Linked DNA regions of Rhinolophus ferrumequinum. The protein of the gene in region 1 purifies or fractionates together with the protein of each later gene. This does not show direct contact. Links are inferred from orthologs where the notes say so. Each region holds a gene or a part of one and is shown in the gene's direction. Other genes may lie near its edges.

Region 1 (3,746 bases):
CCAATTTTGGAATGAGTTAACTTGGACTTCACTACCCACAAGAGAAGTAGGGTCTAAAAAGTCCTGCGTGTCACGTAAAGTGAAAATTCAAAAATGAAGCAAGGCTGGCCCCAGTGACATGTATGTTTTTTTGCAAGAATAGGTGGTACCTGTCACCTTGGAGGAACATTTAATCTCCACACTGCAGCCAAAGCCACTAGTAGCAGGAACCCTAATCCTCTGCAATTCCCCTAAATGCAGGACTTGGGTTCACTGGTGGTTTAAACTGACACCTAATGGTGTCTCCTGGGGCCACCGTGGCTGTTTAGTTTCAGTGTCAGGTGTGCAGAAGTGAAATCAGATGTGGTTGTTCCCTTCACTGGTCAGATCTCAGATATCCGGACTCCTGCCAGTGGTCTAGCTGTTTAGGGTGCCACTAGGAAAACTATAGACTGGCAGATTAAAGACGACCCTCTCTGGTGGCTGTGAAGTGTTGAAACTAATTGCAGTGCTGAACTAATCGTCTGGGTTATCATTTCGACGTCCATGGTAAGGCCCTGTTCTTGAAAGTCTGGCCAGAATCAACCTCCTGATTAAGCCTGTTTCTGTGCAGAGGCTATCTGGGGGCTTGAGGGCCAAGCCTGAAGAGGCAGGGAAGGAGAGACATTGATGTAAAGATCTGACAATTGAAAAGGAAAAGCTCTCCAAGTAGGAGGTACAGTTTCGGCGAAGTCTTGTTGGAATGAAAAAGTATGATGTGCTCAGGCGGCTCTAATTTTCCAGGTCGGTGCAAATGTAACAAGGGGAGATGGGAGATGGAGGGCTCAAAAATGAGACGCGCAGGGTCTTGAAGACCAGCCTCAAGGGTTTAGTTTTTAATCCAGACATCAAGGCAAGTCGCCACCCTTTTCGGGGGCGTCGGCATAATAAGGCATAAATCAAAGACTCACACCCTCCTTCTCCAGCACAATGGCACGGATTCCGCCTTCCAGCCAACCTGGCCGGTATCTCACAAGCGAAAACCTGCAGACTGCCTCGGTCCCAAGACGTTATGCATTCCTTACGACGCACGCGCAGAAACTTTCTCCAGGACTCTCAGAAGGGCAGGCTTCACCTCGTCCAATCCTGTCCCTCATTGGCTACAAACAACTGCTCGTCTGGGCCGTTGTTAGTGGCGACGTAGGCGGGTACAATCTTGGTCGCTAAGATACCACGTACTTCCGTTACCTTCCTCCGTCGTCCTTGGCTCCGACAGGCCCTTCCACCAATGGCAAATGGGCAATAGGCGGGACTTCATTTGTTCGGACCAAAGAAACACGGGTCTGGCCGGGAGTAGGGCGGCCAATGACGGTGGGGCAACCCCTGTAGAGTGGCTCGGTCGCCCCCACGCTCGCCTTCCCTCCTCCTCTCGGACCTGCCCCTCCCTAGCCCCGAGTCAGCACCGTGCTAACCGCAGTCTGACAGGAACGGGACGCAGCCAAGATGGCGGCGGCCGACGGCGACGATTCCCTTTACCCCATCGCGGTGCTCATAGACGAGCTCCGCAACGAGGATGTTCAGGTTCGGAGGCCACGGGGGACTTGGGGAAACGGGAAGGGGGACCTGGGGGCACGAGCGGCCCTCGCGGAGTAAAGTCGCAGTTCGCTGGGAGTGGCGGAAGAGGGCGGCAGCCAATCAGCGTCCACCTCTCATCTCCCTGGGTCCCCAGACTCGGTGATACGGCGCCCGGGATTGGGTGTCGGCCCTCCAGAGGGCGGGAGCGAGGCCGAGGATCCCGGGCCTGCAAAGTGCGCGCGGCGGCCCAGGGTCTGGGAGGCCGCGGTCCGCGAGGGGGCCGGCGGGCTGGGTTAGGGAGACCGGGGATTCGGTGATTGGCGGTGACCCCTGAAGGGCCCCTTTGGGATGGGGAGGGCGCGTGAGTAGCTCCGAGTGGGGGAGGGGCCACCTGGTTTATTGGGACCCAGGTAGGATTCTTCCTTTTTGGGTTTCGGCGGCTGGGCCTCAGCGCTGTGGGGTAAACCCCAGATGGGGACTGAGAGGCGAAGGTTTCCTTTCCAATTCCTGCCCGCCGTCCCCCTCCAAATTTGGTGTAGCCCCGACAAAGGGGATCGAGGGCGAAAACACCCCACCCCAAGAGGGAATTCGTTAAATTTAGGAGTGAATTAAGAGGTGGAAACCCGCCCCGCTTCTGGGATCCTCTCATTGTCTGGGGGGTGGGCAGTTTACTAGACGGGCTGACACATTTCTGGTGAGTGGGATGGGGAGGCCCAGGGCCCTGAGCCCGGCTGGCAAGGGATTGAGAAGAGTTAGGACTCTGCGGTTTGCCCACCCCAGCTCCACTTCCCACCCGCCGCGTAACCTTGTGCAAATTACTTCACTGCTCTGGGCCTCTGTTTTCCATAAAATGTGGGCTAATAATAGTTCCGGCCTCTCTGCTGGGTGTTGGAGGAACTGAACGAGTTAATAATACAAGTAAAAGAGAACCATGTCTAGCGTGTTGTAATAGCCCAATAAATCTTAGCTGTAATTTTTGGGAGTGGTGACTGGAGAGGTCCCATCTCCCTTTGGGCCTCAATTTCCTTCTTTATAAAATTGAGCCGGTTTGCCCGGGGCCCAGCCTCTGAGGGTCTGGGTATATCACTCTGGTTCTGGAATCAGACAGGCTGCGGTTGTGCAGCTGGCTCTTCCGCTTGCTGATTGACATGAGCCACTTAGTTAAGGTCACCAAGACTTGGTTTCCTTTTTGTTTTAAACGGAGGTCATTATCTAGTTCATAGGACTGTTGTACGGACTCATCTGTTCAGTGAACACCTGCCACATAGCAGGTATGGTGCTGTGGATATAATGATGACACCAGTTTTTATACTAGACAGATGTCTCCTACAAGAGACAGATGTGAGACAGGTGACTACATTAACGCGTGTTAGATGTGATGGGAAGGAAATGGCAGGATATTGTGATAATGAGTCAGTAACTATTTTTGGAGCTTCTGCTCTGTGCAGGGCCCTGCTCTAGGCACAGTTACACAGCGGAACAAGACACAAAACTCCTGGCCTTGTGGAGCTTATGCTCTAGTGAGGGGAAACATAATAAACAAGACAATGAGTAAAATGTGTTGTATGTTCCATGAGGATAAGTGCTAAAGAGAAAAATGAAGAGGGGTGGGGGGTGCAATTGTAAAGAGTGGTCCAGGAAGGCCTTGCTGAGAGGTGATGTTTGAGCAAAGATCTGAAGGCCACAAGGGAAGAAGCCAGGAGGCTGTCTGGGCAGAGTACACAGCAGGCAGGAAGTGGGGTGGGAAAGATCGTTTTAAGTAGGCCAATCAGAGAGGGCTCCCTCTGAGGACACAGAGTTTAAGGTGAGACCAGAAGAAGGAGCCAGCTCCAGGAAGGTGGTGAAGAGCCCTCCAGGAAGAGAGAGCAGACAGGTAATGGCAGTTCTCAACCCATGGTGATTTTGCCCATCAGGAGACATTTGGTAATGTCTGGAGATGTTTTTGCTTGTCCCAACTGGGGAAATGTTACTGGCATCTAGTGGATAGAAGCTAGGAAAGCTGTTAAACCTCCTGCAATGCCCAGAACAGCCCACATAACAAAGATTTGTCTGCTCAAAATGTCCGTGAGATTGAGAGAAACCCTTGTGGGGAACTCTTGAGGCAAATTTAGTGGCTTAAAAGAATACTGATTTATTATCTTACAGTTCTGAGAGTCAGAAGTCTGACATGGGACTCAATGGGCTAAAATTAAGGTGTCTGCAGGGCTACCTAT
Region 2 (3,746 bases), on another chromosome or scaffold:
GTATTTTGTCGATTTCTTAGGAGACAGGTACTTTAGGAGCATGGTGCAAATACGAGCTGGATGAATTCAGCGGGTACATATTTGGAGAGCCGGAAACTTTCCTCTATTTCAGACCTTGGGTCAGGGGTGCAAATTCGTATTGATGTGTAGTCACTCAATAAATCGAGAGTGAATGAATACATGAATGAAAAAGGTGTGGTCCTGGACTCCGGGAGGCGAGAAAGCCAATCAGAGGTAGCACCTGGACTTGCTGGGCTCACAGTGGAGAATCAAGGAATCCAAAGGGTTCACCCAGCCTTCCACGCAGCCTTTCCTTAAACTCGATTAGTTCAGGGGCTCCTGGCTGCCTCACCACGGACCGCCGGACAGTGCCCACTGGTGCCTGGCAACAGTGCCCTGACTGGTTTGTGACAGGTTTGTGCTCCAGGAGTCAAATCCGGAGGGCGGAGCACCTGTTTTTATTTATTAAAGCTGTATTTGTTAATCTCTGTATCTGCGGCATCTAGCACAGGACGTGGCACACAGCTGATGTTTTCAAAAGCTTGCCTAAGTGTGAATATGCGTAAAAATGTTTGAGTCGGATGAAAACGACTACCATTCTACACAGCGCCTCCCCAGCCAGGTTCTCGACTAGCTGCTCTTTGCATATGTTCTGTTTTTGCTACCAGCCCTGGGGTAGGTCTGTATCATTTTCCCACCCTAGAAATGAGGTGAATCCCAGACGAATTCCCCTCGGTTGCCCAGGCACACATCGCAGGGAGAAGCATCTGCTGGCAGTTGAACCAGGTGTGCCTGGCTCCAAAGCCTGCCCTCTCGACCCTGCCCCCGAAGCCCCAGCATCAAACGCTGCCCGTCTCTGCCAACCCAGCAGGTAGAGCTCGGCCAATGGGTCTTCGTAGAAACCGCGTCCTTCCGAGTCCTCATGGCTCAGCTCCCAGGAGGCTCTGGAGGTGACACCGCGGGCTCCGACCTGTCGCTAGCCGGTGGCTTCCCCCCGGGCGCGCGCCCCCGTAAGGTGTGTAGACGTGACGTCGGGCAGGTGTCTGGCTCAGAACCTGATGCACAGTAGACGCTCAGTAACGGCTTTGGCGTCCCCGCGCCGTGGGTGGAGAATTTGGGGAAGCCCAGAGGTGGAAGATGCGGACGGCGCACGAGGACCAGAGCCCGAAGCCACTGCTGGGCCGAGGCGACCGCACACAGGTGGGGCCTGGAGGGGCGGGGCTCCGGCCGCGCCCATCCAATCGGCGCCCGGGAGGCGCAGCCCACCCACCTGTGGAGGCGGCGCTTGCGCAGTCGGCAGCCGCGGCCCTTTCCCCGTCGCCCCTCCTGGGGGGCGGGGCGGGTCGGCGGCGCTCGGCGCTGACGCTGTGCCGTCGCGCCCGACGTCGGGCACGTTGACGCCGGCGTCGCGCAGCCGGGCCCGCTCCTCCTGCACTCCGCCAGTGTCCGGCCGCGGGCCGGCCTTAGTGACTGGGGGCAGCGGGCCCGGGGCCGCGGGCGCGGGGCGGGCGGCGGGCGCGGGCGCGGGCTGCCTTCGTCGGGCTCCAAGCTCGCCCGGAGCGAGCGGCCGCCCGCGAGCCGCCGCGGAGCCTTCTCGCCCGCTCCCGCCGGCGAGCAAGGTAAGGCAGCGGGACACTGAGGCAGGCTCGGGGCGGAGCGGAGCCCCAGGCGCCGGCCCGTCCCGCGGCGGCTGCGCGGCCGATTCCTGTCAGCGCGGGGTGAAGGGTGCACCCCGGGGGTGGAGGGCGGGGGCTGGCGACGAGGCCCGCGGCGCCGGGCCCGGTGGGAGAGCTCTGCGAGTGCCCGGGACTCCCGGACGACGCGCCCCTGCCCTCAGGGACGGGCTGTTGGGACCGCCCGCTGCCCCCAACCCTGACCCTGGCGCCCGGGTGACCCCGGCGCCGGGGACAAGCACCTGTGGCCGCTGGAAGCCCCAAGCGAGGCAGCGCTGCTGTTGTAGGTGGTTCTCACCATCCTGGCGGGGGTCTGGGGTCTCTGCAGCGCCAGGGGCGGTGGGAGTGGGTGGAGGTTACCGCCATCCGGTGCGCGGTGTCGGGCATCTCCCTCTCGGGGGTCCGCCAAGCCCGGGATACCGCCGGCAGCCTCAGGAACCGGCTCCCTTGCTCCTCGCCCCATCGTTATAGATGAGACACTTAGTCGCCTCTCAAAATCTCATCTTTCACTTTTCCTTCCTTCCTCGCCGTCCACGGCTGTATCGACCGTCTCTGTTTCCATTGTGGAATTTTTTTTTTTTTTTGCTCTGTTAACTTACATAAGTTAGGTTGTCTGACCAACCACTACAGCCGTTGAAAAACTCCTCTCCCAACCCTTAACGAATCCAGTCCTTTTAGGGCTCCCCAGACCCAGCCCGAGCCTTCAGGGAGCCGTCAGTTCCTCCCAGGGGCTGACTGCACACATTCCTGTAAGATGCCTGATGGATTTTGTACTTGTCAGTTTTACTGGCTGTATGCGCCTTCTGTGCTTTGCCTGAAAAGTGATTGGGTGGCACGTGTTTTGACTTTCTCTCCCCCACCGGGAAATAGGAAAAAAAAATAGGTTACAGAAGCACACTTGTTTTCAACAACTAGAAGTACAGCCCTGCAAACAAAATACCAAGGGTTTGTTCTTTATGCGAGGGGTAGTCTTTGGTCTTTATCCCTTCCTTGAATTATTGTCTGTCTGTGTCTTCCTTTATCTTGTATGTTCCATCACCTAGGATTTGCGTGTGTATGTTTTCCCAGCTTGTTGATGTTCAGGGCATCAGAGAATAAAGAGAATAAAGAGGTCGTCAGCCTTTCATTTTTTTTAGCTACAGATGGCTGTAAATTTGCAGAGTTGTGGGAGAGGCACTTAATAACTGTAGTCTGGGTCTTTCGTTTCAAGATGATGTGCGAGGTGATGCCGACCATCAGTGAAGCAGAAGGCCCCCCAGGAGGAAGTGGGGGCCATGGGTCCGGCTCCCCTTCGCAGCCAGACGCAGATTCACATTTTGAACAGTTGATGGTCTCCATGCTGGAGGAGAGGGACCGTCTTCTTGACACGCTGAGAGAGACTCAAGAAACGCTGGCATTAACCCAGGGGAAATTACACGAGGTTGGTCATGAAAGAGATTCCTTGCAGAGGCAGCTCAACACTGCACTTCCACAGGTATGGATGCTTTTCACGGGCAGCTTTACACTTTTTTTTCCACTAATTTTTTTTTATGGTGTCGTTTTCTTTGGTGTTGATATTTTAGATGAGTATTTTGCACAATCATTTGTGAAATGGCTCTGGCATTTGTACGTCAGTCACGTATACATGAAGGTCCTGAGGATTACCCTTAGGGAGAACAAACTCTGTGGTCCTCTAAAGTTGTGTGAAAACACCTCATGACTCGCGTTCCTTTCTTCGAGGCAGCAGAAGGAACTGCCTAGATTTGGGATAGTTCTCCAAAGTTTTTGAAAATGGGCCATGAAGCAGCTATGTGGTACCTTTCGATTGTTGTCTTAAGGCATTTTGTGCTAAACGTGTATGTCCCATGGATTGTATCTTGTATTTCCAGTTTCCTAATGACATTCAATGGACAAATAGGATTGGTTTCACAGGAAAAATATTTTTACAGCCTACCTTCGTCAGAACACCTGTGTTTTGTAAATCAAATTTGGTTTAGGGACTAGAATACTGGAGATGGATTCCTTTGTAGCCTTCTCCTTGGCAGATGAGAATTATAAAGCTTAGAATCACACTGGAGTTGTTAATGTAAGTAT

What was found. The genes of interacting proteins can lie anywhere in the genome.
Region 2: the proteins of PPP2R1A (region 1) and PPFIA1 purify together in Homo sapiens (affinity purification with mass spectrometry; 7 studies listed by BioGRID and IntAct, with this or other methods). This does not show direct contact. The link is inferred for Rhinolophus ferrumequinum from reciprocal best matches to the Homo sapiens genes PPP2R1A and PPFIA1.

The regions. Positions count from the first base shown.
Region 1 is NC_046298.1:46,567,031-46,570,776, forward strand, and holds the start of PPP2R1A (serine/threonine-protein phosphatase 2A 65 kDa regulatory subunit A alpha isoform), read left to right. Parts: upstream 1-1,314; 5' UTR 1,315-1,461; coding exon 1,462-1,539; intron 1,540-3,746. UniProt on the Homo sapiens protein: The PR65 subunit of protein phosphatase 2A serves as a scaffolding molecule to coordinate the assembly of the catalytic subunit and a variable regulatory B subunit.
Region 2 is NC_046294.1:3,076,609-3,080,354, reverse strand, and holds the start of PPFIA1 (liprin-alpha-1), read left to right. Parts: upstream 1-1,401; 5' UTR 1,402-1,619; intron 1,620-2,883; coding exon 2,884-3,147; intron 3,148-3,746. UniProt on the Homo sapiens protein: May regulate the disassembly of focal adhesions. May localize receptor-like tyrosine phosphatases type 2A at specific sites on the plasma membrane, possibly regulating their interaction with the extracellular environment and their association with substrates.